Anolis sagrei: one gene and its partners. The protein of the gene in region 3 purifies or fractionates together with the protein of the main gene of each other region. This does not show direct contact. Links are inferred from orthologs where the notes say so. Each region holds a gene or a part of one and is shown on either strand. Other genes may lie near its edges. The genes, in order: PRKD1, LPAR2, NHERF2 and PLCB3.

Region 1 (7,279 bases), on a different chromosome or scaffold from region 3:
AGCTGGAATGTATCCAGAGGAAGATGACTAAAATGATCAAGGATCTGGAGAACAAGCCCTATGAGGAGAGGCTTAAGGAGCTGGGCATGTTTAGCCTACAGAAGAGAAGGCTGAAAGGAGACATGATGAGGGCCATGTGAGGGGAAGTCATAGGGAGAAGCAAACAAGCTTGTTTTCTGCTTGTGCCCTGGAGACTAGGACACAGAACTACAGGAAAGGAGATTCCACCTGAATACGAGGAAGAACTTCCCAAGCCTGAAAGTTGTTCAGCAGTGGAACTCTCTGCCATGGAGTGTAGTGGAAGTGCCATCTTTGGAGGCTTTTAAACAGAGGCTGGATAGCTATCTGTCGGGGGTACTTTGAATGCAATTTTCCTGCTTCTTGGCAGGTGGTTGGACTGGATGGCCTACGAGGTCTCTTCCAACTCAATGATTCCATCATTGTGGGCTGTATGGCCATATTCCAGAAGCATTATCTCCTCCCATTTCACCCACATCTATGACAGGCGTCCTCAGAGGTTGAGGGGTCTGTTGGAATGTAGTCAAGTGGGGTTTATATATCTTTGAAATGTCCAGGGTGGAAGAAAAAATCTCTTGTCTGCCTGAGACAGGTGTGAATGTTGAAATTAGTCAGATTGATTGGCATTGAATAGCCTTGCAGCTTCAAAGCCTGGCTGCTTCCTGCCTGGGAGACTTCTTTGTTTTGAGGTGATTAGCTGGCCCTGATTGTTTCCTATCTTGAATTCCCTTGTTTTTTGGAGTATGCTCTTCATTTACTGCCCTGATTTTAAAGTTTTTTAAATACTGGTATCCAGATTTTGTTCATTTTCATGTTTTTTTTCTCCTTTCCATTCCACAGATATCATCACAAGTGTGGCTGGTGAGAATGAGGGGGGGGGGCTTTCTCTGCGATCGCTCCCCATCTCTGGAACTCCTTTCCCAAAGAAATAAAAATGATACCTACCCTCCTCTCCTTTAAAGGGCTCTTGAAAACGCACTTGTGCACTTTGATGTATGGAGAGGAGGAGGATTAGGGCATTTCAGTTCCACAGGAATGCTGGCTAACCTATTTGTATCCCACTGCTGCTATGGTACATGAGAAGAACAACCTTGATAGTCATTTTAATGTTTTTAGTTGTATTTTCTAGGCTTTATTTTTCAATGGTTAATTTATGTCATTAGTATAATTAGGTTTATTCAGTTATTCGTATTTGCCCCTCGTTTTGATGTTAATTTCCTTTTTGTCACAATTTTATGGTTATTATTTTTGTATTATCCTCTTTATTTTATTTGTATTTGAGTTCAAGCATTGAATGTTTACCTTTGTTGTTTGTAAACTGTCCTGAGTCCCCTTGGGGAGAGAGGGTGCTCTATAAATAAACTTTCATTATTATTATTATTATTATTATTATCATTATTATATAAACCTTACTTGCCTAGTTTCCAACAGACCTCACAACCTCTGAGGATGCCTGCCAAAGATGTGTTGCTTATTCTTAATACCCCCTCCCCTCAAAAAGAGGGAAGAAGTTGACATTAATTTCTTCTATCTACCTCCCCTCAATAAAGAGAGAGGAAATTAGCAGCCCTCTCTTCTCCTAGCCCCCCCCCCGCCCCACCCCAAGAGAGAGGAAATTGGTAACTTATTCCTCCTGTCAAAAGCCATCAAAAAGGGAAACCTTCCTGTGAGTTTTAAATGGCATTTTAGCATATCTACTGTATTTCAGTTTTGTTTTTACCACACTGCTCCTTGTTAATTTCTTTTTAACTTTCGTATTGCACCTTTTAAACTTGCCTGATGTGGAATCTGAGCCACCTTGAGTCCCCACAGGGAGAAAGTCAGGATATAAATCAAGATAATAAATAAATATTTATTATCTTGAACAACATTCAAAAAACAGGGGAATTCCAGACAAGAAACAATCAGGGCCAGCTAATCACCTCCCAACAAAGGATTCCCCCAGGCAGGAAGCAGCCAGGCTTTGAATCTGCAAGGCTATTCAATGCTAATCAAGGTGGCCAATTACAACATTCATTCTTGCTTCAAGCAGACAAGAATTCTTTCTCCCGCCCTGGACATTCCACGGATATATAAACCTCACTTGCCTAGTTTCCAACAGACCTCTCAACCTCTGAGGATGCCTGCCATAAATGTGGGTGAAACGTCAGGAGAGAATGCTTCAGGAACATGGCTATACAGCTCGGAAAACTCATAGCAACCCAGTGATTCCAGCCATGAAAGCCTTCAACAACAACAATAAATAAATAAATTCTTCTTAATTCCTGCTGCCCTCCCAAATTCCTCAAAAAGGGGAAGGAAATTGGCAACCTTAATTCTTCCTAACATCTCCCAGACCACTTTGTACAAAACTTCTTGCCATATAGGAAGCCCCTCCCTCAAAAAAGCAATCAAAAATGGAAAGGAAATCAGCAGCACTTGTTCTTCCTACTCCCTCTCTCTCCAAAAAAAGGAAATAGGTCACTTCTTCCTCCACCACCCTTCCCAAAAGCCATCAAAAGGGGCGAGGAGGAAATTGGCAACCTTCTTTCTTCCTAACTCCCCCCCTCCCAAAAAAAAGCCCTCAAAAAGAGGCGGAAATAGCCAACCTGTGTTCTGCCTAACTCCCCCCCTTTCCCAACTTCATACCAAACTTCCCTCTTGCCATCTAGTTAATTTGTTTTAGCACATTCCAATCCATGTAACCCTTTTGCTCCCAAGTCCACCTTTCCATAAAGTCCAACTTAACACCTCCCTTTCCAACCCTGACAAGTCTCGCATAAAGAAAAGGGAGACAATCTCCCTCCCCCTCCCCCTTCCCTTGAAGCCCTCCAGATACCTTCAAAGCAGCCTTCATCCCAGCTGTTCTTACTGGTTTGTGCACTGCTGCTGTTCACATTGAAGAAATACTGAATCCTTCCTACTTCTGGGCTGGCTTAGGACTTACACGTGAGTAGGAGCTTCCTTCCACCTGCCAGCCCACTCTTTCTAGATCTCCCCCATCCCAGTTTACATACACACACACACACACACACACAAAGAGCCAGTCACATGCTGACAGGAGAGGGAGGCAGCTGTCACCACATAAAACGGGGGGTTCTGTTCAGCTGACTGCTGTGTCCTTCATCTCAGCTGTTCCTCCTCCCCAATCTGATTTAGTGGAGAATAATAAGAAAGAATCCCACCCACCACCTGTCATTTTTTTTCTATTTACCAAACACACAAAAACATCCTATCTAGTGAATGTCATTTTCTAACCAGAAGCTCTTTATGTTTAATGCAGGAAGGAGGAGTTTGTCTTTCCAGCAACAGAACAAGTGCATGTTTCAGCTCTTGTTCAAATGAAAGCTTTAATAAAGCAGGATGGGCCTCTTTTCATTTCCTTGGCATCCTTTTTATACCAAGGATCTTGGGGTGGCATCTCTAGAGTGTATCTTGTATGACAAATTAGGCAACACAAAAATGCTGTGCAAAAGACTGGGAATTTGAACTTAATAGAAATTTAAGAGCCGCCATGGTGTAATGCAGAGCTTTCCAAACCATATGTCATGACACGTTAGTGTGTTGGTTGCACTGTGCAGATGTGTCACATAAACATAACGAGAAATGACAAAATCTTGAAAATGTGTGTTATTATCTTACTTTTTTCTGAAATATAAATGAAAAGTTTTCATGACATTATGTTATTACAGTTTATGGAAGAAGAGGAGGAGGAGGAGGAGGAGGCGGAGGCAGCCAGGATCGAAAAATCAGCCGATGACCCAAAATGCAGATTGTGCAAGGAAGCTGATGAAACCATTGATCATATCCTCAGCTGCTGCAAGAAAATTGCACAGACAGACTACAAACAGGGGCACAACCATGTGGCCCAAATGATTCATTGGAACTTATGTCACAAGTACCACCTGCCTGTAGTAAAGAACTGGTGGGATCATAAACCTGCAAAAGTCATGGAAAATGAACATGCAAAAATATTGTGGGACTTTTGAATCCAAACTGACAAAGTTTTGGAATACAATACACCAGATATCATGATTGTGGAAAAGAAAAAAGTTTGGATTATACCAAGACCTCAAAATTGAACTGCAAAGACTCTGACATAAACCAGTACAGGTGGTCTCAGTGGTAATCAGCACACTGGGTGTCATGCCAAAAGATCTCAGCCAGCATTTGGAAACAATGAACATTGACAAATCACAATCTCAACTGTAAAAGGCCACCTTACTTGGATCTGCACACATCATTCGAAAATATATCAAACAGTCCTAAATGCTTGGGAAGTGTTCTACTTGTGATTTTGTGATATGAAATCTAGCATATATATCTTGATTGCTATGTCATACTGTGTTTTTGTGTCAGTAAAATCATTATTGTTGTTGTTATTATAGGAGATGGAGGGACTGAATCTTGCAGCCCAAGAAAAAGCCATTAGAACCAATGCTATCAAAGCCAGAATTGAAAAGTTGATGGCAGATCCCAAGTGTAGACTCTGCAAGGAAGCAGATGAAACGATCAATCACATCCTCAGCTGCTGCAAAAAGATCGCGCAGACAGACTACAAGGAGAGGCATAATAATATTGCTCAGATGATCCTTTGGAACTTGTGCCACAAATACCATCTGCCTGTGACAAAGAACTGGGATCACAAACCTGAAAAAGTTATGGAAAATGAACACGTCAAACTACTCTGGGACTTCTGAATTCAGACTGACAGAGTTTTGGAGCAAAATACTCCTGACCTCATGATCATGGAGGAAAAAAACAAGTATGGATCGTCGATGTTGCAATCCCAGGTGACAGCAGGATTGATGAGAAGCAACTGGAAAAGCTTACACAATATGAAGATTTATAGATAGAATTGCAAAGACTCTGGCACAAGCCAGTAAAGCTGGTCCCAGTGGTGATTGGCACACTGGGTGCAGTGGCCTGCACTTAAAAACAATCAGCGGCAGCACTGACAAAATTACCATCTGTCAGCTGCAAAAGGACACCCTACTTGGATATGCACTCATTATTTGCTGATACATCACACAAACCTAGATACTTGAGAAGTGTCCGATGTGTGATCAATTGCAAAAGGCAACATAGAGATCTTGTTCGCTGTGTACTAATCTTGTTATGTGTCAAATAATAATAATAATAATAATAATACTTTATTTATATACTGCCCTATCACCCCAGAGGGACTCGGGGTGGTTTCCAACCTATAAGGCAAAATATTCAATTGCCAGAAAAGAAAAACCATACAGACAAATTAAAACCAAGCATCATAAAACATAAAATCATACTAAAACATACATAAAAATTTAAAATTTTCATTATAGCTCCATCAGACAGGTCTCTAGAACAGCGGGAAGTCAATTTTCCCCCTCCTCCTCCTCCTCCTCAATGGGACACTCTCTTAAATCTTGAAGCATGGTTTTCATGTTCCCTCTCTACCTTCTTTTCTCCCAGCTAAACATTTCTCAGGAGGAAAGGAGGAAGGAAAATGATTAGGAAGGGAGGGAGGGAGGAAGAGAAGGATACTGGAAAGGATTGGAGGGAGGGAGGGAGGGAGGGAGGGAGGGAGGGAGGAAAGAGGGAAGGAAGGATGAAAAGGTGGAAGGGAAGGAGGGAGGGAGAAAGAGGGAGGGAAGGATGAAAAGGTGGAAGGGAAGGAGGGAGGGAGAAAGAGGGAGGGAAGGAAGGAAGGAAGGGTGAGAGAGAGGTGGGGAAGGAAGCCGAGTTCTCTTGACTTCCCCACCTCTCTCCCTTCCTTCCTTCCTTCTGGAAGGAATGATAGGATGGTGAGAGAGACGAGGCCCTGAGAAAAGAGCCAAAGGGGCTGCATCTGGCCCCGCGCCTGGGTTTGCCCATACCTGTTATAGTGACTCAATCATTTTAAGATGGTGAGCCTGCAACATAAGACCTAATGAGATATTCTCCATTTACAGAATTACTTTTAGATTTGTTTCTGGCTCAAAATAGTTACATCACTTATTACCATTACTATCACCTATTAATTCCTATTACCTATCAACTATTGCCATTACCATTACCATTTAAGGTTGGCTTAAAGCTAACCTTGGAAACTATGGCATAGACACCAAGAACTTGGAAGCACTGGCCCTTGAGCTCTCTAACTGGAGGTCAGTTGTGACCAGCAGTGCTGCAGAATGCGAAGAGGCACAAATGGAGAGCAAAAAGGAAAAATGTGCCAAGAGAAAGGTGCGTCAAGCCAACCCTGATTGGAACTGGCTTCCAGCTGACAGCCGATGCCCTCACTGTGGATGAACATGCAGATCAAGAATAAGACTCCACAATCACCTACATATCCACCGCCAAGACACTACACTTGGAAGGCCATCGTATTCAGACAACGAGGGATCGCCTAAGTAAGTATTATTACTCCCAATGGCACTTTTATAAGTCAGCAATGCTTACTGTAGATAATTCAGTTTTAGACTATGTTTGTCCTTCTTTATATCATTGCTAGAAAAGGATGGGAATTATTTTTTTTTTGTTTGGACTATGAGAACTGCAAAATATTTGATATGGGAACCAGGTTATGATCATACTTCGGTAGTCATACTTTTCAGAATTTTACAATGCTATTCCTTCAACCAGAAAATGTTTGGAAGTTGTATTTTTGATGTACAATTTAATAAAATTATTTTAAAATGTTTATAAACACATACATTGGGGGCAGTTACACAAGCTGCATATATATTAATGAAAAAGCAGCATTATATGAAGAAAAACTGTTTGCTGAAATGCATATATTGGACAGATTGAATAAAAATGCATTTATTAGAAGAAGACATACATATTTTCATTTGCGACTTTTAAAATGCAGTTTTAGAGGAAGATCAAAAATTGGGACATAATAAATGTCAGGTAAGGAAAATGAGAAATTATATTGACAGATTGACAGATAGACAAATTGTCTATCTCTGCTGTGATGATCAGAACAGAAATGGGGCGTTATGAGAAAAGATAGTAGGTGGAGATGGTTCATTGGAGCTGGATGAGTTTCATTGGAACTGTTATCTACACCTCCCACTACTTGAAAAATGAAGACGCTTCTGCCTACATCAATGATGTTGTCATTGTATTTTTGCAGAAGGAATTGTGGGAGTTGAACTACAACCCCATGATCCCTGGCATGAAATGATGGCCATATGTGAAGGAGGCACAGCTACCAACCCTGGTTTGTAGAAAATTAATTAGGTAGTGAATTTATTCCGCCCCTTATTGGAAGATGTGGGATGAACCCACTATTTCTGGTGTCTGAACTGCAGTC
Region 2 (7,571 bases), on a different chromosome or scaffold from region 3:
TGGTGTTAAATTGCTATACGTTTCCAGTATAGATAGGTCTTTCTGGCATTCGTCACTTCTTTCATGGCCCCTGTGCCCAAGGCCTTTTCCTTCCTGCTAAGGAGGATTCCAGCCCATATCAAGCCCTGCTCATCTGTCTTCAGGGCAGGATGCACATAGTTTTGGAGAGCCATCCAACATCCAACCCCTTGAGATTGGAGGACAGTATTTGTACTGCCTTCAGCAGTTATTGGTTGCTCAAGTTTCCTGCACTGTTTATCAACCCACAGACTTCCCTACAGGGAACCAATTCAGCTGTGCGAAAGGGTAACACAGGATGAGTTCACACCATATACAGTATTTTGAGAGAAGGGGCCTGAGACAGGACTGGCTTTCCACCATTAAACCAAGGTCCCTTCCACACAGCTGTATAAAATCCACATTGAACTGGATTATATGGCAGTGTAGACTCAGATAATCCAGTTCAAAGCAGATAATGTGGATTATCTGCTTTGGTAATCTGGATTATATAGCAATGTACAAGGGGCCTTAGTTGTCTTTTTAGGGAAGAGAAGAGAGCAATTTGATTTGGACCATAGGTAGGAGAAGGCAAGCAGTTCCTTGGCCTCAGACAGCAAAGTCTCTTAGGTCTCTACAGTCATATAAAATTCAGAATTGCCTGCTTTGAACTGAAATATGTGGCAGTTAAACCACCGAGCTGCTAAACTTGCTGACTGAGAGATCAGCAGTTCAAATCCGGGGAGCAGGTGAGCTCCCACTATTTAGACCCAGCTTCTGCCAACCTAGCAGTTTCAAACACACAAACATGAGTAGATCAATAGGTACCACTTTGGCAGGAAGGTTAGGGTGCTCCATGCAGTCATGCTGGCCACATGACCTTGGAGACGTCTACGGACAATGCCGGTTCTTCATCTTAGAATTGGAGATGAGCACCACCCCTCAGAGTCGGACACTTAGACTAATATAATTCAGTCCAAAGCGGATAATCTGGATTGTATATGGCAGTGTAGATGGTGCCTTGGACTGGCCTAGAACTAAGAGTAGACTCGTGATTTCATTTTTATACTATAAGGTAGACAAACTTATGCCCTTCAGGTATTTTCCAACATTGTAACTAAACAAACCAACAGGAAGACGCAGGCTGTACAGAACTGACACCTATCCGTCCATCACAACATCATTGCCATCCTTCAGTTCTCTCTGCCAAAACATCCCATTTCCCTTTTTCAATGTGCAACACAGTCCACTTGCAGAAAGAAAAGAAAGTTGCTGCTGTTTCAATTATGAAGACCATGAAAGTGCTGAGAACCTGGATTAACTAGTTGAGGGCTCTGCTGGCTGAAAGTGATGATTGGGCTGATTGAAACCAGGACTCCCAGACCTCTTCCACACAGCTGTATAAAATCCAGATTATCTGGTTTGAACTGGATTATATGGCAGTGTAGACTCAGATAATCAAGTTCAAAGCAGATAATCTGGATTTTCTGCCATGATATGATGAGTTATATGGCTGCATGGAAGGACCCTGAGTCTACAATGCCATATAATCCAGTTCAAAGCAGATAAATTGAATTATCCGATTTGATATTCTGGGTGATATGGCTGTGTGGAAGGGCCCTGAGTCCACACTGCCATATAATCTGATGTGGATTATCTGATTTGATATTCTGGGTTATATGGCTGTGTGGGCCCTGAGTCCACATTGCCATATAATCCAGTTCAAATCAAATAATGTGGATTATCTGATTTGAAATACTGTGTTATATGGCTGTGTGGAAGGGCCCTGAGTCCACACTGCTATATAATCTGGTGTGGATTATCTGATTTGATATTCTGTGTTACATGGCTGTGTGGAAGGGTCCTGAGTCCACACTGCCATATAATCCAGTTCAAAATGTGGATTATCTGATTTGATATTCTGGGTTTTATGCCAGTGTAGAAGGGGCTTTAGGGCCCTTCCACACAGCCATATAACCCAGATTATCAAGGCAGGAAATCCCACATTGTCTTTGAACTGAGTTATCTGAGTCCACACTGTTCAAAGCAGATAATGTGAGATTTTATTCAGCTTGTGTGGAAGGGGCCTGAGGCTAAATAAAGCCCTGCTTTGCTCCTTCCCCATCATGGGCGCATCTACACAGTGGTATGAATGGAGTTTGGCACCACTTTGAACTGTGCTATGGAATTAAGGGAGTTGTAGTTTGACAAGGTATAACTTTCTCTGCCGAAGAGTGCCATTCTGCAGTAAAATTACACCCCATGAGGACTAGAAACATAGAATGGTTGTTTTTCTAAACAAACGTGGAGATTCTCCAACTTACAACCCAACTTTAGGGCCAAACCCTATATCCTTTAAAGTCCTGAGTTGAAAGTTTGGGCTCCTTCTCCACTCTATATCCCAACATTTAGACTGACACTGAACTCCTTCCTCCTTCTATCTGAGCGCAAGAGCATCCGTCCTGCTCTTTTTCTTCCTTTCTTCCTCCCGCCACTTTCCCAAGTTACCCCCCTCTGCCCTGAGAAAACGAGGGAGAGATTGGGAACGCCTTGGCTAGAGGAACAAGCCCTTGCTTCCATTGTTTGCCCTTTTCCCGCCTCGCCAAAGCGAGAGGTCTTACCTGAAGGCAGAGAGGAGAGTCCGAGAGAAAGGGACTAGCGCCGGGCTTCTTCCCTCCCAAGGGTGAGGTTTCTGGAGCCGAAGTTCCTTGTCATTGCTGGGCAGCTGGGTCGGGCCTCTCTCCCCTTCCCCCTTCCCCTCCTTCCCTTGCTGTTGGGTCTCCTTTCAACAAAGACCAAAGGAGGGAGGACTCAAAGACTCCCGCCACACTCCGCCACCCTCCCCAAAGGCTGCCCAAGTTGCCAAGCCGGCCGCCTTCCCTTCTGCCTGGCTTCCTTCCCTTCTGCCTCGGAGAACTGCCTTCCCGCTCTGGGGCCTCCTTGCTCGCTGGCCCAGGCCCGCCTCCCTCGCCTTGCAGGAGACCTGCTCCCTTAAGCCACCCAGGAATTGTAACCTGAGTCGCCTCTTGCCTCTTCCTTCCTTCCTCCCTTCTTCCTCCACTTGCCATTCATCTGCAAGGAAAGAAAGACTGTCCTCTCCAGCCCCCTCCGGGTCTCCAGAAGCTTTGTTTGGGCAGCCACTCCTTTGTGGAGTTTCTGTCTGGGAAAGGGGGATTAAGGGGGCCTTCCACACAGCCATATAACCCAGTATATCAAGACAAATAATCCACAATGTCCGCTTTGAACTGGGTGATCTGAGGGCCCTTCCACCCAGCCCTATATCCCAGAATATGGAGGCAGAAAATCCCACACTATCTGGTTTGAACTGGGCGATCTGAGTCCACACTCAGATAATGTGGGATTTTCTGCCCTTCCACACAGCCATATAACCCAGAATACCAAGGCAAATAATCCACAATATCCACTTTGAACTGGGTGATCTGAGGGCCCTTCCACCCAGCCCTATATCTCAGAATATGGAGGCAGAAAATCCCACACTATCTGGTTTGAACTGGGCAATCTGAGTCCACTCTCAGATAGTGTGGGATTTTCTGTCCTTCCACCAGCCATATAACCCAGAATATCAAGGCAAATAATCCACAATATCCACTTTGAACTGGGTGATCGGAGGGCCCTATATCCCAGAATATCAAGGCAGGAAATCCCACACTTTCTGGTTTGAACTGGGCGATCTGAGTCCACACTCAACGTGGGATTTTCTGCCCTTCCACACAGCCATATAACCCAGAATATGAAGGCAAATAATCCACAATATCCGCTTTGAACTGGGCCCTTCCGCACAGCCCTATATTCCAGAATATCAAGGCAGAAAATCCCACATTATCTGAGTGTGGACTCAGATAACCCAGTTCAAACCAGATATTCTAGGAGTTTCTGGCTTGATATTCAGAGATATAGGGCAATGTGGAAGGGCCTCCAGCCCCCTTCCACACATCTGAATAAAACCCTACGTTATCTGCTTTGAACCAGAATACAGTGTTCCCTTGCTACTTCGCAATTCGCTTTTAACGGACTCGCTGTTTCGCGGGTTTTTGAATATATTAATCTATATAAATAAAAATGTAATTGTTTGTGGGATTGACATACCTCAAAAACCACTGGACAAATTGACACCAAATTTGGACACAATATATGTATCAGGCCAGCGAGTTACCTTCACTAATAAAAACACTGAAAAATGTATTGTCGAAGGCTTTCATGGCCAGAATCACTGGGTTGTTGTAGGTTATTCCGGGCTATATGACCATGTTCTAGAGGTATTTTCTCCTGACGTTTCGCCTGCATCTATGGCAAGCATCCTCACTACCTCTGAGGCTGCTTGCCATAGATGCAGGCGAAACGTCAGGAGAGAATGCCTCTAGACCATGGCCATATAGCCCGAAAAAACCTACAACAACTATACAAATCTTTGTTTCAAGCTCAAAATTACCTTTAAGCCATGTGTGTAAGATATTGATAAAGCGTACATTTGATTCCCCCTCCAAGATTTCCCATTATATAAAAATATGCAAACATAGGTTTTCCAAAACTGAAACAAAAATCTGAAATACAAAACGTTTCTGATCCCAAGGATTTCGGATAAGGATTATTCAACCAGTACTAAATAAAATCTGAGATGGTAAGTGCTGATAGTAATTGTAGTCCAACATGTCCCTATAGCCCGGAAAAACCTATAACAACCGAACACTGAAAAACCCAGCGGAAGAGACTTAAAAAGCCCAGAAATAAATAAAAAAACATTACAATGCATGCACAAAACCACATATATATACGCAAACAAATATACACACGCGGTGAAAATACAACAAACTAAACTACCATTACTTTGCCCCTCTTTTGTGACATTCTACATCTACTACCTGAGGTATGTCTGACTTTGGTGTTCTTTAGCAGATTCCCATTCATTTCAGTTTGTTATGGGGGGGGGGGGCTTCCCCAAAGGATTGCACAACATCTAAATCAGTGTGTTTTGTGGAGCAGATGACCCATTACCGTAAAAAGCATCTTAAGATCACCCTTTGTTCCCCTACCACTGGATAAAACTAGTTTCTTCCTTTGCTTATTTGCATGTAAAAGGGGTGTTGTGATGAGGGGAGCGAACAGAGATACTTTGCCATTGGCTCAGTTCTACCAGATCTAAGGATTAACAGATAAGGAAGATTTTTCAGCTGGAGCACTCCTCTCCTGCCTCTGACCAAACCATAAATCACAGGATAGAACCATGGCATTTAACATGGAAGCATAGTGCTAGAACCATATATGTAGTGTGTGAAAGGATCCTTACTATTAAGTTGAGTGGTGCAGCCACTTCAGGCAGATTTCTGATGTCAGAAGAAAAAAGGAACACATTTTTGCTGATGTGAATGATCATTGCTGTATCCTCCTTGCCAGGAAGAGGAATTTGTGGGATTTTTTTACTTCCTCCAAGTAGCTGGCCTTTGACTCGAGAAAGGAGACACCCCATTTGCTTCTCCACCCTGGGCAGCAAATTGTCTTGAGCCCTTCCTACTTGAAAGTATGCTCCATAGAGCCCAGTGGGACATATTTCAGTGTAAACAGTACGGTATCAAACTATATAAGGCTTGTAGCCCATGGCTTATCTATGTTTACTCAGAAGTAAGTCCCTGTTGGTTCATTGGAATGTGTGACCCAGTATCGTATCTGTTTACTCAGAAGTACGCCCCACTGTGTTCAACAGAGCTTGCATCCAGGTTAGTATGCGTAAGCATACTGAGAAGTAAATGAAAATCCAGAAGAAAGTGAGGCTTGCATCTGGGTAAGTGGATGTAGTAATGAGGCTGCAAGTGCTGAGTCCTAGCCCCGTAAATAATTGGGTTTAGGACTGCTGGTTTTAGGCCTTTGAACTGCCGTCTGGATTAAAGGGATTTTAAAGTGATGGGAATAGATTGCTAACCCTGGAGACAATAAGGCCTACTGTTTGAAGGAGGGGCTGGCTCAATTGGGGATCTTTATGCACACAATAAGTAATGGAGGAGACTGAGAAGGACTTTCTGGATATAGAGATCATTTTTCACAACAGTTTAGGACTTATGGCTCAGACATGGACACAGTAATTGGTAAAGAATAAGAAACAATGGACCCCTGGGTTGCATCCTTCCTGCCCAGTGAGTGGAAGGAGGCTATAATAACATGATCAGATGCGTCGGTGAATTGCACATTTAGGCAGCAATCCTGCACAGCACAAATGTACAATCTCTGGATTTCTTAAACTACACTCCTAGCAGCTCTCACCAGCATACTCCAAGATGCAAAATACTGGGATCTGCACTCACCAGTAGCTGGAAGGCCATGTTTTCCCATTCTTTCAGGCTGTGAATAGTCATAATCATATAAAAAACATCACAGAGGATGAAAACCTTGTAGCATTTTTCACAGGCTTTGTAGCTTTGTATTAGAAAAAAACGTTTGCTGGGGTTTCAAATGCAAAAAGGTGGTTAAAGTACTCTTGAGATAACGTAGAATGAAAGGACAACACAAACTACCCTTGGATTGTGGCAGAGTCGCCTTTGGAGGTTTACAAACAGAGGCTGGATAACATCTGTTGGTTTGTGTGTTCCTGCATGGCATGATCCTTATGGTGTCTTCCAACATTATGATTGCCAAACATTGGTTCCAAGACAGCAAAGTTATGATGAAATAGCCAATATCCTGAGATCTCAGAATGATTGATTATTTTTGCACATTGTAACATACTTAGTCTAAATACCTGGAAGGCACCAGATCCTCTCTGTTCTTGGAAACTAAACAGTTTCCAGTATCATTAGTACTTGAATGAAGGACTACCAAGAAATATCAGGTGCTGGAAGTAATGCTCTTTAAGTTATCTAAGCAAGGGACCATTTCTCCCAATGTGCCAGGAAACAGCATGTATTTGTAAAGTAAGTTTAAAGGTTTCCCCTCGACATTAAGTCATGTCCAGATCTGGGGGGGGGGGGGGGGGCGTTATCTCAATTTCTAAGCTATGAACCATCAAGACAATTAAGATCTTCTAGTGGGGCCCTGCTCTCGGTCCCGCCACTTTCGCAATCACGTCTGGCGGGAATGAGTGACAGGGCCTTTTCTGTGGTGGCCCCTCGGCTATGGAACTCTCTCTCGATTGATATCAGATTTGCCCCCTCCCTCCTGTCCTTCAGGTGAAATCCTGGTTATGGAAGGAAGCATTCCCAGAGTGATGGTTGAAACCGGCTACAGAATAAAGTTATCGACCACACATGCGGACTGAGTTGGACATGATTTTATCTTGGCGATTTGGCTTTTATTTGTAATTTTAATTGATATGTATTTTAACTCGTTATTATATGATGTTTTTAGATTGTACTATTACCATTGAATCCTTGCTGTAAGACGGTCTGAGTCCCTCTACGGAGGTTGAGAAGATCAGGATATAAAAGTTTTCAATAAATAAATAAGCTGAAGAGCCGGCGTTGTCCGTACACACCTCCAAGGTCATGTAGCCAGCATGGAGTGCTGGTACCATCCCACCAAAGTGGTACCTATTGATCTACTCATATTTGTATTCATTGACAATTGTT
Region 3 (7,634 bases):
CCCTTCCATTTCTAGGACCCTATGATTCAACTGCCCTGTTTCTCCACAAATGTCCATGAAGCTAAATGGCCATCTGTGGGGAGGGCTTGGATGCTGACAGCCTTCCTGTTTAATAGAATGGGGTTGGACTGGATGGCCTTACAGGCCCCTTCCAGCTCTAGGACCTTATGATTCTATTGCTCAATGTCTCGATATTTCTTTTTCCTTGCTAAAAAATGATGGTGAATGGTCTCTAGCTGCAGGAGAGAGATTGGAACCTGCCCCATACATAGACATTTACAGACAGACAGACAGACAGACAGATAGATAGATATGGAGAAATAGGGTCATAGGATCATAGGATGCTAGAATTGGAAGGGGACTCTGAAGGCCCTCCAGTCCGACCTCCTTTGGCAGGGCAGGAAGACCCCATGTGAACCCTCCACACAAATGGCTGGTTAGTGTAATGAACATTTAGAAGACAGATAGAAAGATAGATAGATAGATAGATATACATAGATCGATCAAGAGAGAGAGAGATACAGATAGAGATACACAGATAGATAAACAGATTGATAGATACAAAGATCGATACATAGAGATACACTGATAGATACATAGATAGAAAAATAGATAGATGCACAGATTGATAGATAGATACAGAGAGATATATACACAGATACACAAAGAGATACGAGATATATAGATAGGTAGATAGATAGATTGATAGATTGATAGAGGGATCGATAGATAGATAGAGGATGGATACACAGATTTGGGCCCCATATAAAATCCAGATTATCTGCTTTGAACTGGAGACTCATATAATGCACTTCAAAGCAAATAATGTGGATTTTCTGATTTGATAATCTGGATTATATGACAGAGTAGATCCAGCCATAGAGAAAAAGAGAGATACACAGAGATAGACAAATAGAGATACAGAGAGAGAGAGAGAGAGAGAGAGAGAGATATACACAGATAGATAGATAGATAGATAGATAGAGATACACCACAAAGATAGAGATATGGAGAAGGGGCTTCCACACAGCCATATAACCCAGAATATCACGGCAGATAATCCACAATGTCTGCTTTGAACTGGGTTATCTGAGTCCTCACTGCCATATAACCCAATTCAATGTGGATTTTATACAACTGTGTAGAAGTGGCCAAAGAGAAAGAGATACACAGATAGATAGATAGATAGATAGAGAAAGAGTTAAACAGAGACAGAGAGCAAGGTACACAGACAGAGATAGATAGATAGATAGATAGATAGATAGATATAGATAGATGAAAAGAAAGAGAGAGAGTGACAGAGAGAGTGATAGACACAGAGAGAGTTACACAGAGATAGAAAGAGGGACACATATAGATAGGTAGAGAGAGAAATAGAAAGAGATAGATAGATAATAGATAGAGACACAGACAGAAAGACAGAAAGAGACAGATGATACACAGATAGATAGAGAGATACACAAATAGATAGAGAGATAGACAGATAAAAAGAGAGAGATAGAAAAGGATAGAAAGAAAGACACACAGATACAGAGAAAAATAGAAAGAGATAGATGATAGATACACAGAGATAGAAAGAGAGAGACAGACAGATAGAAAGATAGAAAGAGATAGATAGATGATACACACAGAGAGAGAGAGAGAGACAGAGAGAGAGAGATACACAGAAATAGATAGAGACACACAGATACAGAGAAAAATAGAAAGAGATAGATGATAGATAGATACAGAGAAAGATAGAAAGAGATAGAAAGAGATAGATGATAGATAGATAGATAGATAGATAGATAGACATAGAAAGAGAGACACACACATGTAGACGGAAAGATGGAAAGATTGATTGATTGATGATCGATATTGTAGACACAGAGATACACAAATAGATACAGAGAAAGATTGAAAGAGATAGGTGATAGATACATAGACAGAGGAAGATAGAGAGAGAGAGAGACAGACAGACAGACAGACAGACGAGAGAAAGATAGAAAGGGATAGATAGAAGATAGATACAGAGAGACAGAAACAGAGAGAGAGATACACAGAGAGAGAGAGAGAGATACATAGATAGATACCCCAGGCATGGGCCAACTTTGGCCCTCCAGGTGTTTTGGACTTCAACTCCCACAATTCCCAACAGCCTCAGGCCCCTTTCTTTCCCCCCTCGGCCGCTTAAGCGGAAAAGGAAAGAGCCTGTGGCTGTTAGGAATTGTAGGAGTTGAAATCCAAAACACCTGGAGGGCCGAAGTTGGCCCATGCCTGGTCCACACTGTGGAATGGTTGCAGTTTAGCGCTTGAACTGCCTCCTGGCTCAATATGATTGGGCCCTGGGAGTTGTAGTTTGCCCTCTTTGGAATGGTGGGAGTTGCAGTCCAAAACACCTGGAGGGCCGAAGTTGGCCCATGCCTGAGAAAGGCAGGCAGGCAGGGAGAGCCCCGTCTTTGCTCTTCCCCCCCCCCCCACCCCGCCCGCCCTCTCCCTCCTTCTGACCTGGTGGTGGGTCTCCTTCTCCACGTTGTGCCCGTTGACCTGGACCAGCCTGTCTCCGGCCCGCAGCCCGGCGGCCTCGGCGGGGGAGCCGGGCTCGACCTGCCGGATGAACTGCCCGCTCTTGCCCTTCTCCCCGTGGAGGTGGAAGCCGTAGCCGGAGGGGCCCTTGCGCATGGGGCAGAGGCGCGGGACGGGGGGCCCCGAGGACGAGGACGAGGAGGCGGGCGGCGAGGACGGCGGAGAGCCCGCCGAGGCCGAGGCGGCGCCGCCTTGCTCCTTGGCCATGGCCGCGGCGGGCGGGCGGGCGGGAGGAAGCGGCTGCCGGACGGAGCCAGGCTAGAGAGGGACCCGAGCCCCGGTGCGGATCATGGCCACGAAGGGGAGGGGGAGGAGGAGGAGGAGGAAGGACAACAAGGCCGCCCCGCCCCTTCCCCGCTCGCTCGCTCTCTCTCTCTCGCTCTCTCTCGCTCTCCTTGCTCCTTCCCTCCTTCCTTCATCCACCGGAACCTTCCAGAGGTTGGGAAAAAGGAAGGGGGGCTCAGAGAAAGAGGAGGGGGCGTCCCCTTTCTCTCCTCTTCCTCCTTCCTTCCGTTGTTTCTCTCTATCTTCTCTCTCTTTCTTTCTCCCTCTCAGATACTCTGGATTTTCCATCCTTCCTTTCTTTTCTGCCTCCTTTCCTTCCTTCCTTTCCTTCCTTCCATCCATCCTTCCTTTCTTTTCTACCTCCCTTCCTTCCTTCTTTTCGTTCTTTATTTTCTGCCTCTTTTCTTTCTTTCCTTGTTTCCTTCCTTTCTTTTCTACCTCCTTTCTTTCCTTCCTTCCTTTCCTTCCATCCTTCTTTTCCTTCTTTCTTTTCTGCCTCTTTTCCTTCCTTCCTTCCTTCCTTCCTTCTTTTCTTCCTTTCTTTTCTACCTCCTTTCCTTCCTTCCTTCCGTCTTTTCTTCCTTTCTTTTCTGCCTCCTTTCCTTCCTTCCACCCATCCTTCCTTTCTTTTCTACCTCCCTCCCTCCCTTTCTTTTCTACCTCCTTTCCTTCCTTCCTTTTCCTTCTTTATTTTCTACCTCTTTTCTTTCCTTCCTTCTTTTCTTCCTTTCTTTTCTACCTTCTTTCTTTCCTTCCTTCCTTCCATCTTTTCTTCCTTTCTTTTCTACCTCCCTTCCTCCCTTTCTCTCTTTCTTTACTTATTTCTATCTTCCTTCCTTCCTTTTTCTCTTCACTTATTCATATTTTCCATCCTTTTTCTCTTCACGTTTTTCTTTCTATCTTCCTTCCTTTCCCTCTTTATTTCTCTCTATCTTCCTTCCTATCTTCCTTTCTTTCTCTCTTTCTGCGCTACTTTCCATCTTCCTTCCTTTCTTCTTTTCTCTCTTTCTTCATTTCTTTCTACCTTCCTTAGAATCATAGAGTTGGAAGAGACTTCATGGGCCATCCAGTCCAACCCCCTGCCAAGAAGCCGAAAAATCACATTCAAAGCACCCCTGACAGATGGTCATCCAGCCTTTGCTTAAAAGCCTCCCAAAAAGAAGCTCTCTTCCTTCCTTTCTCTTTTTGTTTCTTTCTATCTTCATTTCTTTCTCTCTTCACTTCTCTCTATCTTCCTTCTTTTCTTTCTGTCTTCACTTATTTCTGTCTTCCATCCTTTCTGTCTTTCTTCATTTCTTCCCATCTTTCTTCCTTCTTTCTATTATCCTTTCTTCCTTTCTCTCTTTGCTTCTTTCTACCTTCCTTCCTCTTCTCCACTTCTCTTTTCCTTCCTTCCTACCCCCTTCTTTCTTTCTACACTTCTCTTACTCTGAAGCTCTTAAATTTCCTTCTTTCTAACTTTCATTCATTCTCTGTATTCTTTCTTTCTACCTTCCTTTCCACCTTTTCCCTTCCCTCCTACCCTTCTTTCTCTTGCCTCCTTCTCTCTCCCATCTCTTCCTTCCTTCACTTCTCTCTACCTTCCTTCCTTCCTATTTTCCCAAAGCTTAAAAACAAACATAACCACCTTGTGCAACCAAATGGGGATTGTAACATTCAAGCCACTTTGGGGAGGCACAAAGCGCATCTTTTGGCAGGGAAGGCAAAACTCCAACTCCCAGGATTCCATAGCACTGAACTAGGTCAGTTCAAGTGGCATCAAACTGCATTAATTCTGCAGTGTAGCTGCATATCGATACTCAAGCCCCTTTCTACCCAGCATGCAAATAATGGGTATTTCTGAGCAAGAAGTAAGCAAAGATTGGAGTTCACACTCATCTGGATGGCCTTTAGAGGCCCCTTCCAATGCTAGGGTCCCAAGATTCAAGTCCCCTGTTTCTCCATATTTCTCTTTCCTTGCACGAGTGACATTGGAACTTAGAACTGGCAGGAAACCTTGGATGTTTTCAGGGGAGCGAAGGTGTTTCAGAATCCACCCCCTTCAATCATTTTGCTGCTCTTTTGTTCGCAAATGGCAAGAACAACACATTAAAGCTTTTGAAGAAAAGTCTCCTGCCGTTCTGCACACCCTGCACAGCGGTCTCATTCCGGAGGCCTAAAGAGCGGTGTGTTCCAGGTGCTTTATTCCGCCCACAGCCTCCATTATGGAGGATTCAGGAGCTGAGTGCTTTGACCCCTTGCTGTCATACAATGCGAGAGGAGTGCTTTGAAGGAAGGATTTGTTCTCAAAGAAGCAATGCAGCGTAGGCTCCCCTTTCTTCCCATTGCCATCATACTGCCAGGCTTATGGATTTCCGGGTTTTCTTATGCAAGGAAAACTTTGACATGGTTTTTCCTATGGTATTCATTGGTGTCCTCCCATCCAAGTATCATCCAAAACTGGCCCTGCTTAGCATTCACAATCAGTTGAGATCCAGGATTTAGGCCTTTCTTTGCTAGTTCCTTCCTATGAAATGCTGCCTATAGCACTTAGATATACATTGGCGGCCTCCCATCCAAGTACCAACCAGGGCTGACCCTGCTTAGCATCTACAATTGGTTGGGATCTGGTGCCTTTAGGGGATTTAGTTAGTTCCTTACTTTGAAATATTTCCTATAGCTCTTAGATATACATTAGCGGCCTCCCATCCAAGTATCAACCAGGGCTGACCCTGCTTAGCATCCACAATTGGTTGGGATTGGGTCCCTTTAGAGGATTTAGGTAGTTCCTTCCTTTGAAATATTACCTATAACATTTAGATATACATTGGCGATCTCCCATCCAAGTACCAACCAGGGCTGACCCTGCTTAGCATCTACAATTGGTTGGGATCTGGTGCCTTTAGGGGATTTAGTTAGTTCCTTACTTTGAAATATTTCCTATAGCTCTTAGATATACATTAGCGGCCTCCCATCCAAGTATCAACCAGGGCTGACCCTGCTTAGCATCCACAATTGGTTGGGATTGGGTCCCTTTAGAGGATTTAGGTAGTTCCTTCCTTTGAAATATTACCTATAGCATTTAGATATACATTGGTGATCTCCCATCCAAGTACCAACCAGGGCTGACCCTGCTTAGCATCTACAATTGGTTGGGATCTGGTGCCTTTAGGGGATTTAGGTAGTCTTTTTTCTTGGAAATATTACCTATAGCACTTAGATATACATTGGCGATCTCCCATCCAGGAACCAACCAGGGCTGACCCTGCTTAGCATTCACAGTCAGTTGGGATCTGGTGCCTTTAGAGGATTTAGGCCTTTCTTTGCTAGTTCCTTTCTGTGAAATATTGCGTATAGCACTTAGATCTATATTGGCAGTCTCCCATCCAAATGCCATCCAGGGCTGGCCCTGCTTAGCATCCAAGCTGAGGCAGAATCTGGTGCCTTGAAGGTATTTAGACTCTTTGCAGTAAATAATAATACATTAACCAGCTTCAGCTTATGGTTTACTTTATGAATGAGAGACCTCCAATAGATCCTAATATTATTCCGCCCTTCCAAACTCAGGGCTCTCTTGATGGAGTCCATTCAGGTCTTCCTCTGGTTTTTCTGCCTTTTACTTTACAAACCAGACACAGAGACACATTAATTACTACCAAGAGGGTTGCACCGTATGGCAAGACTGTGCTGTGCGGTGATATAACTGGAATAAGAACAAGACATTGGATCTTCAATATACTGCAGAGAGCTTTCCAATGCAAGGCTGCCGAAGCCTGGCCAAAATTGATCCAATGCTGCCATCTGCTGATTCAACCATGATAAACTCCAGCAAATCTCCATTTAAAAGTTAGCCAGCCAGATAGAAGTCTGGCTGGATGGAAGTCTAAACAACTCTTAGGAAATATAGTTTGCTGCTGAAGCTAAACTTTTAAGAACTATAGTAAGACCACCCTTAACGGCAGAACCCATATCTTCAGATTCACTTACCCTTGATCATGGAGTAATTAGAATGCACAATTCTAGGCTGTTGTTGTTGCTATTGTTGTTGTTTCTATCCTGCTTTATGTCTCTAAAAAAGAGCCCCAAAGCAGCTAAAAAAGAGCCCCAAAGTGACTTCCTGTAATTTCTCCAAAACATGCTCAATTTCCTATTTGTGTAGTGGTTAAACTAGGACCACTGATAAGAGGGTCCGTGCCTGGTAAGCATATTCTAAACCGAATGGGTCAGGACAGGGAAACAACTCACCAGGATGAAGACAAGCCACAGAGGTTTAATTCAATTAGGCCAAAAGGGATGCAAGTACAAGCAAGATGCTTCAAAAAGTGCAAGCATAACACACAGAGAAAAGCAAGATATCTTATACAGTTTAACAGCTATTCAAAACTCCCACTCCCTCCTCTAATTGGTCAAAAAGGGGACTGGTAAGGATCCATACCCCGATTGGCTGGAGGCTCTACTGATGCTGCCACTTTGGTAGGGAAATGAAGGTCGGGGATAGGCCGGTGAAGGACTAATCATTTGATGTAACACCCCCCTGGGAGGATACATAATCTGTGAAGACAATACCAAGGAAATGTTAATGAGCTTTTGATTCGCTCAACTGTCCAGTTTGATAGCAGACAAAGATAAGAGCTTCCGAAAACAAAGGTGTGAGACTCCTTAAACAAAAGGTGATGATCAGGGCTTGTCTGTCAAGAAAGAGAATTAACAAACACACATACTCTTTGCTTCTGTTTCCACAGGAAACAATCTCTCAGCTTCAAGGGAATCATCTATCTAGATAGTTTTGGGTTTATCTGAGCTGG
Region 4 (7,850 bases), on a different chromosome or scaffold from region 3:
GAAGGAAGGAAGGAGAGAGTGAGAAGGAGGGAGGGAGTAGGGGAAGGAAAGAAGGATGGAAAGAGAGAGGGAAGAGAGAGAAAAAGAGTAAAGAATGAAAGATAGAAGAAGGAAGGAAAGCAAGAGGAAGTGAGAGAGAGAGAGAAGGAAGGAAGGAAGGGGAGAGAGGAAGATGGGGGAAAGATGGATGGAAAGAGAGAGGGAAGGAAAGGAGAAAGGAGAAAGAAAGTGGGTGAGAGAAAAGGAAGGAAGGAAAGAGGAAGAGAGAGAAATGAAGGGAGCAAGAAGGAGGGAGGGAATAGGGGAAGGAAGGAAGGATGGAAAGACAGAGGGGAGAGAGAAAGAAAGTAAAGAATGATAGATGGAGAAGGAAGGAAAGGAAGAGGAAGCGAAAGAGAGAGAAGGAAAGAGAGGGAGAGATTCAAGGATGGAAAAAAAGATGGATGGAAAGAGAGAGACGGAATGAAGGAAATGAGAAAGTGGGGGGGGGAGAGGAAGAAGGAAGGAAAGGAAGAGAGAAAGTGAAGGAAGAGAGCAAGAGAGAGAAGGAAGGAGTAGGAGAGGAAAGAATGATGGAAAGAGAGAGAAGGAAGGAAAGTAAAGAAGGAAGGAAGGAGAGAAAGAGGGGGAGGAAATAGGCTGGAAAGAGAGGGGGAAGGAAAAAGAGAGGAAGGGAGGAGAAAAAGAAGCAAGGAAAGTAAAGAAGGAAGGAAGGAGAGTGAGAAAGGGGTAAGAAATGAGGATGGAAAGAGAGAGGGAAGAATGAGCAAGAGAAAGAAGGAAAGAGAGAGAAAAGGAAGGAAAGGGAAAAGTGATGGAAGGGGGGAGAAGGAAGGAGGGAGTAGGGGAGAAAAGAAGGATGGAAATAGAGAGAAGGAAGGAAAGTAAACAAGGAAGGAAGGAAGGAAGGAAGGAAAGAGGAGGAAGAAATAGGCTGGAAAGAGAGGGAAGGAAAGAAGAGAGGAATGTAAGGAAGAGAAGAGAGGGAAGGAAGGAAGGAGGGAAAGCAAGAGGAAGGAAGAGAGATGGAGAAAGTAGGGGGAGGAAAGAAGGATGGAAAGAGAGAGAGAAGGACGGAAGGAAGGAAGGAAAGAAGGCAGGAAGGAAGGAAGAAAAGAAAGAAAGAGAGAGGAAGGAAGAGAGAGAAGAAAGGAGGGTGTAGGAGAGGAAAGAAGTATGGAAAGAGAGAGAATGAAGGAAGGAAAGAAAGAAAGAGGAAGGAAGAGAGAAAGAAGGAAGTAGGGAGTAGGGGAGGAAAGAAGGATGGAAAGAGAGAGAAGGAAGTAAACAAGGAAGGAAGGAGGAAATAGGCTGCAAAGAGAGGGAAGGAAAGAATAGAGGACTGTAAGGAAGGAGAGAGAGAAGGAAGGAATGAAAGTAAGAGGAAGGAAGAGAGAGAAAGGGGAAGTAGGGGGAGAAAAGAAGGATGGAAAGAGAGAGAAGGAAGGAAGGAAAGTAAACAAGGAAGGAAGGAAAGAGGAGGAAATAGGCTGGAAAGAGAGGGAAGGAAAAAGAGAGGACTGTAAGGAGGGTAAGAGAGAGAGAAGGAAGGAAGGAAGGAAGGAAGGAAGAAGGAAGGTAAGCGGAAGAGAGAGAAGGAGCGAGTAGGGGGAGGAAAGAAGGATGGAAAGAGAGAAGGAAGGAAGGAAGGAAGGAAAGAGGAAGGAAGAGAGAAAGAAGGAAGGAGGGAGAAGAAGAAGGAAAGAAGGATGGAAAGAGAGAGGGAAGGAAAGAAAGAAAGAGGAAGAGAGAGGGAAGGAGGGAGTAGAGGGAGGAAAGAACAGTGGAAAAAGGGAAGGAAGGAAGGAAGAAGGGAGAGAAAGAGAAGGATGGAGGGAGGGAGTAGAGGAGGAAAGAAGGATGGAAAGAGAGAGAATGAAGGATGGAAAGGAAGAGGAAGGAAGAGAGAGAGAAGGAAGGAGGGAGTAGGGGGAGGAAAGAGAGAAAGAAAGAAAGAAAGAAAGAGGAAGGAAGAGAGAGAGAAGGAAGGAGGGAGTAGGGGAAGGAAAGAGAGAAAGAAGGAAAGAAAGAAAGAAGAAGGGGGAGGGAGAGAGAAGGAAGGAGGGAGTAGGGGAAGGAAAGAGAGAAAGAAGGAAAGAAAGAAAGAAAGAAGAAGGGGGAGGGAGAGAGAAGGAAGGAGGGAGTAGGGGAAGGAAAGAGAGAAAGAAGGAAAGAAAGAAAGAAGAAGGGGGAGGGAGGGAGAAGGAAGGAGGGAGTAGAGGGAGTTAAGAACAGTGGAAAGAAGGAAGGAAAGAGGAAGGAAGAGAGAGAAGGGGGGAGGGAGAGAGAAAAGGAAGGAAGGAGGGAGTAGAGGAGGAAAGAAGAGTGGAAAGAGGGAAGGAAGGAAAGAAAGAAGAAGGGAGAGAGAGAGAAGTAGGGAGGGAGTAGGGGAGGAAAGAAGAGCGGAAAGTGGGAAGGAAGAAACGGAGAAAGCAAGAAAGAAGAGAGGGGAGGAGGGGAGGAAAGAAAGGGTAGAAAGAGAGAAGGAAGGAAAGGAGAGAGAAAGGAAAGCAGGAAGGAGAGAGAGAAACGTGGAGTGAGGGAGGGAGGGAGGGAAAGAAAGGGAAGGAAGGAGAGAGAAGGAACGAAGGAAGGAGTGAGAGAGAAGAAAGGAGGGGAGAGAGAAACGTGGAGGGAGGGAGGGAGGGCAGGAAAGGAAAGAGAGGGAAGGAAAGAAAGAAAAGAAGGAACGAAGCAAGAAGAGAGAGGGGAAGAAAAGTAAAGAAGGAAGGGAAGAGAGAGAAAGAAAGAGAGAGAGAGAGTGGAGGAAGGCAGGCACACTCACTCACCTCGTCCCACTTCATGAACTTGCTGCCCTTGAGGAGGGTCTCGTGGACCTTCAGGGGCTCCAGCTGGAGGGCATGGACCCCCGGGCGGCCCCCAGCCATGGCGCCCCCTCCCCGGAAAGCCAAGCCAAGCCTTTGCCTTTGCCTTTGCCTTGCCTTGCCTTGCCTTGCCTTGGCTGCTTGCTTGGGCCGGGAGGGGCGAGGCTAAGCGAGGCGGGGTCTGCCTTTGGGGACCCTCCCTTTCCTCCTCCTCCTCCTCCTCCTTTTGGGAGGAGCCCCATTCCCTCTCATACCTCAGAACTCTGTAGCCCAAGCATGGGCCCTCCAGGAGTTTTGGACTCCAACTCCCACAATTCCTAACAGGCGTAGGCTTTGAACTGGATTATAATATTCCACACCTGGAGTATTGTGTCCAATTCTGGGCACCACCATTGAAGAGAGATGTTGACAAGCTGGAATGTGTCCAGAGGAGGGAGACTCAAATGATCAACAAACCCTATGAGGAGCGGCTGAAAGAGCTGGTGAAGTTTAGCCTGCAGAAGAGAAGGCTGAAATCGCCTAGCATCTTGGATGGAGGGCAATTAATAAGTAATTAAATGATGATGATGATGATGATGATGATGATGATGATGAGAGAAGGCTGAGAGGAGACATGATACCCCTGTATAAATATGTGAGAGTTGACAAGCTGGAATGTGTCCGGAAACGGCGACTCAAATGATCCAGGGTCTGGAGAACAAGCCCTATGATGAGCGGCTTAAAGAGCTGGGCATGTATAGCCTGACAAAGAGAAGGGCAAGAGGAGACATGATAGCCTGGTATAAATATGTGAGAGTTGACAAGCTGTCCAGAAACGGTGACTCAAATGATCAAGGGTCTGGAGAACAATCCCTATGAGGAGCGGCTTAAAGAGCTGGGCATGTATAGCCTGACGAAGAGAAGGTTGAGAGGAGACATGATAGCCTGGTATAAATATGTGAGAATTGACAAGCTGTCCAGAAACGGTGACTCAAATGATCAAGGGTCTGGAGAACAATCCCTATGAGGAGCGGCTTAAAGAGCTGGGCATGTTTAGCCTGAAGAAGAGAAGGTTGAGAGGAGACATGATAGCCCTGGATAAATATGTGAGAGTTGACAAGCTGGAATGTGTCCGGAAACGGCGACCCAAATGATCAAGGGTCTGGAGAACAAGCCCTATGAGGAGCGGCTTAAGGAGCTGGGCATGTTTAGCCTGAAGAAGAGAAGGCTGAGAGGAGACATGATAGCCATGTATAAATATGTGAGAGCTGACAAGCTGGAATGTGTCCGGAAACAGCGACCCAATGGCTTCTCTGTGTAGTCTGACATGGTGGTTGTTGTTGTGGTCCAGCATTTCTGTGTTCTCAAATAATATGCTGTGTCCAGGCTGGTTCATCAGGTGCTCTGCTATGGCTGACTTCTCTGGTTGGAGTAGTCTGCAGTGCCTTTCATGTTCCTGGATTCGTGACTACACAGAGAAGCCACTGAAATCCACAAGCATGTGGACAATTTCAACAGAAAGGAAGAGACCATGAAAATGAACAAAATCTGGCTACCAGTATTTAAAAACTCTAAAATTACAACAGCAAAACAGCAGAGAGGAAACAACCAGGCACATCTTAACACCTCTCAACAAAAGATTTTCCCAGGCTCAGCCAGGCCTTCAAATGGTAATGAAGGTAGTCAGTTGAAACATTCACACCTAGCTCCAGCAGAGAAGAGCTCTTTGCCCCACCCCAGCCATTCCACAGATATATAAACCCATTGTCCTAATTCCAACAGACCTCACTACCTCTGAGGATGCTTGCCATAGATGCAGGCGAAACGTCAGGAGAAATGCCTCTAGAACTTGGCCCTATAGCCTGAAAAAACCCACAAGAACCTAGTGATTCCAGCCATGAAAGCCTTCGACAATACAATTTTAACAAATATAAACTTATTAGTATTTCAATGGGAAGTGTGGGCCTGCTTTTGGCTGATGAGATAGGATTGTTGTTGTTGTTGTGTGCTTTCAAGTTGTTTCAGACTTAGGTTGACCCTGAGCGAGGGCCGGGTAAACGACCTTGGAGGGCCGTATCCGGCCCGCGGGCCTTAGTTTGAGGACCCCTGGTACACAGCAAATAGAGGAATTGCACCCAGCCAAACACGGACCTGGACCAAACTTGGCACACGGACCCATCCGTGCCGGACTTGTAGTTCGCACTGCATTTAGAGATATTACCAAAATAAGTGAGAAATGTTGGAATATTTGCCTTTAGATTGTAACAACAGCGCTGCACTCTGCTTTCCTCATTTCTTTGAAAGGGAAAGTACCAAACAAGAAAATAAACTGTGGACAAACTGGTTTTCTTGCCTCGAACAGGCTGTGCAAGATCCGCTGCCATTCATTTCAATCAGCTTCCACTCCCTTCTCTAGTTTCCCTGACTTTATAATAGCTTACACTACTTTATTTCTAGTTTAAAAGTGAGACAAATCTAATTCCGATTCATGTTACGAGTGGAATCTAAAACATCTGGAGTGCCCAAGGTCTGCCTGGAAGCAAGACTGGGAATCATGCAACTTTGCAGATATTCAACTATCAATCAATGGCTTGTACTTACTTAGACAATCCCTCATTGTCCAAGTGTGATGGCTGTTGGAGTTCAGCGTGTGGTTGTGTTTCAGGATCAGGGTGCTTTGGATGTGGGGAATGATGTTAATGAGGTTCTGAAATGGCAGGGAGAAGGTTTGAGGGAAAGAGGCAAAGAGAGTCCCTGAGGTCTGAAAAAGTACGGTTTATTCTCAGTTGGTATGGACCCTGCTGGTAGTCCAGAGACAGGGCACCAAACAAAGAAAAGCCTTGGTTTATATACCCTTTAACATAATATGCATGCATCATACAGGCATCATAATGTGCCTCACAAAATTCTACTTTTACATTTATTTATTAATTAATTTATTTACTTTATTTGTATACCGTTCTCAGCCCTTAGGCAACTCAGAGCGGTTAACAACAAACAGCAGCAACAATTCAATGCTATCATCATACAAACCATTTAAAAACAATTAACATAATAATACACTAAGCAATTAACATCAATAAACCTCAGTAAACAACTCATTAGCGTCTCATAACTAAAATAATAATCCAAGCTCATCATCCGTAGTTCCGATTTCCTATAATTCATTATAATTCATTGCACTGCCTATTCAAACGCCTGTTCAAATAACCAGGGTTTCACTTTCTTCCGAAATGCCATTAATGAGGGAGCCGATCTAATGTCTGTGGGAAGGGCGTTCCACCACCGAGAAGGCCCTGTCCCTCGTCCCCGCCAACCGTGCCTGAGTTGCAGGCGGGACCGAGAGCAGGGCCTCCCCAGAAGATCTTAAAGTCCTAGTGGGTTCATAGGCGGAGATGCATTCGGATAGGTAACTTGGGCCAGAACCGTCTTTAGGGCTTTATAGGCCAACACCAGCACTTTGAATTATGCCCGGTAGCAAATTGGTAGCCAGTGGAGTTGGCACAACAGAGGAGTTGTATGCTCCCTGAGCGCCGCTCCTGTTAGTATAGCTGCCGAACGTTGAACCAGTTGAAGCTTCCGAGCAGTCTTCAAAGGCAACCCCAAGTAGAGAGTGTTGCAGTAGTCTAAACGGGATGTAACCAGAGCGTGGACTACCGTGGCCAAGTCAGACTTCCCAAGGTACGGGCGCAGCTGGCACACAAGCTTTAGCTGTGCAAATGCTCCCCTGGTCACCGCCGAAACCTGGGGTTCCAGGCTCAGCGATGAATCCAAGATCACACCCAAGCTGCGAACCTGCGTCTTCAGGGGGAGTGCGGCCCCATCCAACACAGGCTGTAACCCTATGCCCTGTTCGGCCTTGCGACTAACCAGGAGTACCTCTGTCTTGTCTGGATTCAGTTTCAATTTGTTCGCCATTGTTTGACTTCAATGGCATATTTTAACTTCAACACCTGTCAGTCTTCATTTAAGCACCTTTATCTAAGGAGCTGCTATTAATGAGAACCATGCACCAGAGTGTCTACTAGGCCACTGATAGCAAAGAGCTTCCATCCATCTTGAGATAAGTTCTTCCTGAAGCCTCTTGATGGCCAGCTCATTAATCTTAGAATAGGAGCCCCCGGTGGATTGAAGACCGACAGGTCGCAGGTTCGAATCCGGGGAGAGCTCCCTCTATCAACTCCAGCTCCTCATGCGGGGACATGAGAGAAGGCTCCCACAAGGATGATAAAAACATCAAATCATCCGGCCGTCCCCTGGGCAACGTCCTTACAGATGGCCAATTCTCTCACACCAGAAGCGACTTGCAGTTTCTCAAGTCGCTCCTGACACGACAAAAAAAAATCTTAGAATCATAGAATTATAGAGTTGGAAGAAACCTCATGGCCCATCCAGTCCAACCCCTTTCTGCCAAGAAGCAGGAAAACTGCATTCAACGCACCCCAACAGATGGCCATCCAGCCTCTGCTTAAAAGCTTCCAAAGAAGGAGCCTCCACCACACTCCGGGGCAGAGAGTTCCACTGCTGAACGGCTCTCACAGTCAGAAAGTTCTTCCTAATGTTCAGGTGGAATCTCCTTTCTTGTAGTTTGAAGCCATTGCTCCATTGCGTCCTAGTCTTCAGGGCAGCAGAAAATAAGCTACTACTGCAACGTTCTCTCCGTGGGGTTGCCTCTGAAGACTGCCCGGAAGCTCCAATTAGTCCAACGAGCGGCAGCCATATTACTAACAGGAGCAGAATACAGGGAGCATACTATTCCTCTGTTGCGCCAGCTCCACTGGCTGCCGATTAGCTTCCGAGCACAATTCAAAGTGCTGGTGTTGACCTATAAATCCTAAACGACTCCAGCCCAGTTTACCTGTCCGAACAGATTCTCCCCTATGAACCATCAAGATTGTTAAGATCTTCTGGAGGGGCCCTGCTCTCGGTCCCACCATCCTCGCAATCGCGTCTGGTGGGGACGAGGGACAGGGCTTTCTCGGTGGTGGCCCCTCGGCTCTGGAACTCTCTCCCACTGGAGATTAGAACTGCCCCTTCTCTCCTGAC

The links.
Region 1: the proteins of NHERF2 (region 3) and PRKD1 purify together in Homo sapiens (affinity purification with mass spectrometry; 3 studies listed by BioGRID and IntAct, with this or other methods). This does not show direct contact. The link is inferred for Anolis sagrei from reciprocal best matches to the Homo sapiens genes NHERF2 and PRKD1.
Region 2: the proteins of NHERF2 (region 3) and LPAR2 purify together in Homo sapiens (affinity purification with western blotting; 3 studies listed by BioGRID and IntAct, with this or other methods). This does not show direct contact. The link is inferred for Anolis sagrei from reciprocal best matches to the Homo sapiens genes NHERF2 and LPAR2.
Region 4: the proteins of NHERF2 (region 3) and PLCB3 purify together in Homo sapiens (co-immunoprecipitation; 3 studies listed by BioGRID and IntAct, with this or other methods). This does not show direct contact. The link is inferred for Anolis sagrei from reciprocal best matches to the Homo sapiens genes NHERF2 and PLCB3.

The regions. Positions count from the first base shown.
Region 1 is NC_090021.1:298,204,585-298,211,863, forward strand, and holds the start of PRKD1 (serine/threonine-protein kinase D1), read right to left. Parts: upstream 3,001-7,279; 5' UTR 2,855-3,000; coding exon 2,837-2,854; intron 1-2,836.
Region 2 is NC_090022.1:147,098,393-147,105,963, reverse strand, and holds the start of LPAR2 (lysophosphatidic acid receptor 2), read right to left. Parts: upstream 3,014-7,571; 5' UTR 2,619-3,013; intron 1-2,618. UniProt on the Homo sapiens protein: Receptor for lysophosphatidic acid (LPA), a mediator of diverse cellular activities. Seems to be coupled to the G(i)/G(o), G(12)/G(13), and G(q) families of heteromeric G proteins. Plays a key role in phospholipase C-beta (PLC-beta) signaling pathway.
Region 3 is NC_090034.1:20,931,854-20,939,487, reverse strand, and holds the start of NHERF2 (Na(+)/H(+) exchange regulatory cofactor NHE-RF2), read right to left. Parts: upstream 3,001-7,634; 5' UTR 2,773-3,000; coding exon 2,488-2,772; intron 1-2,487.
Region 4 is NC_090032.1:16,250,739-16,258,588, reverse strand, and holds the start of PLCB3 (1-phosphatidylinositol 4,5-bisphosphate phosphodiesterase beta-3), read right to left. Parts: upstream 3,012-7,850; 5' UTR 2,889-3,011; coding exon 2,790-2,888; intron 1-2,789. UniProt on the Homo sapiens protein: Catalyzes the production of the second messenger molecules diacylglycerol (DAG) and inositol 1,4,5-trisphosphate (IP3).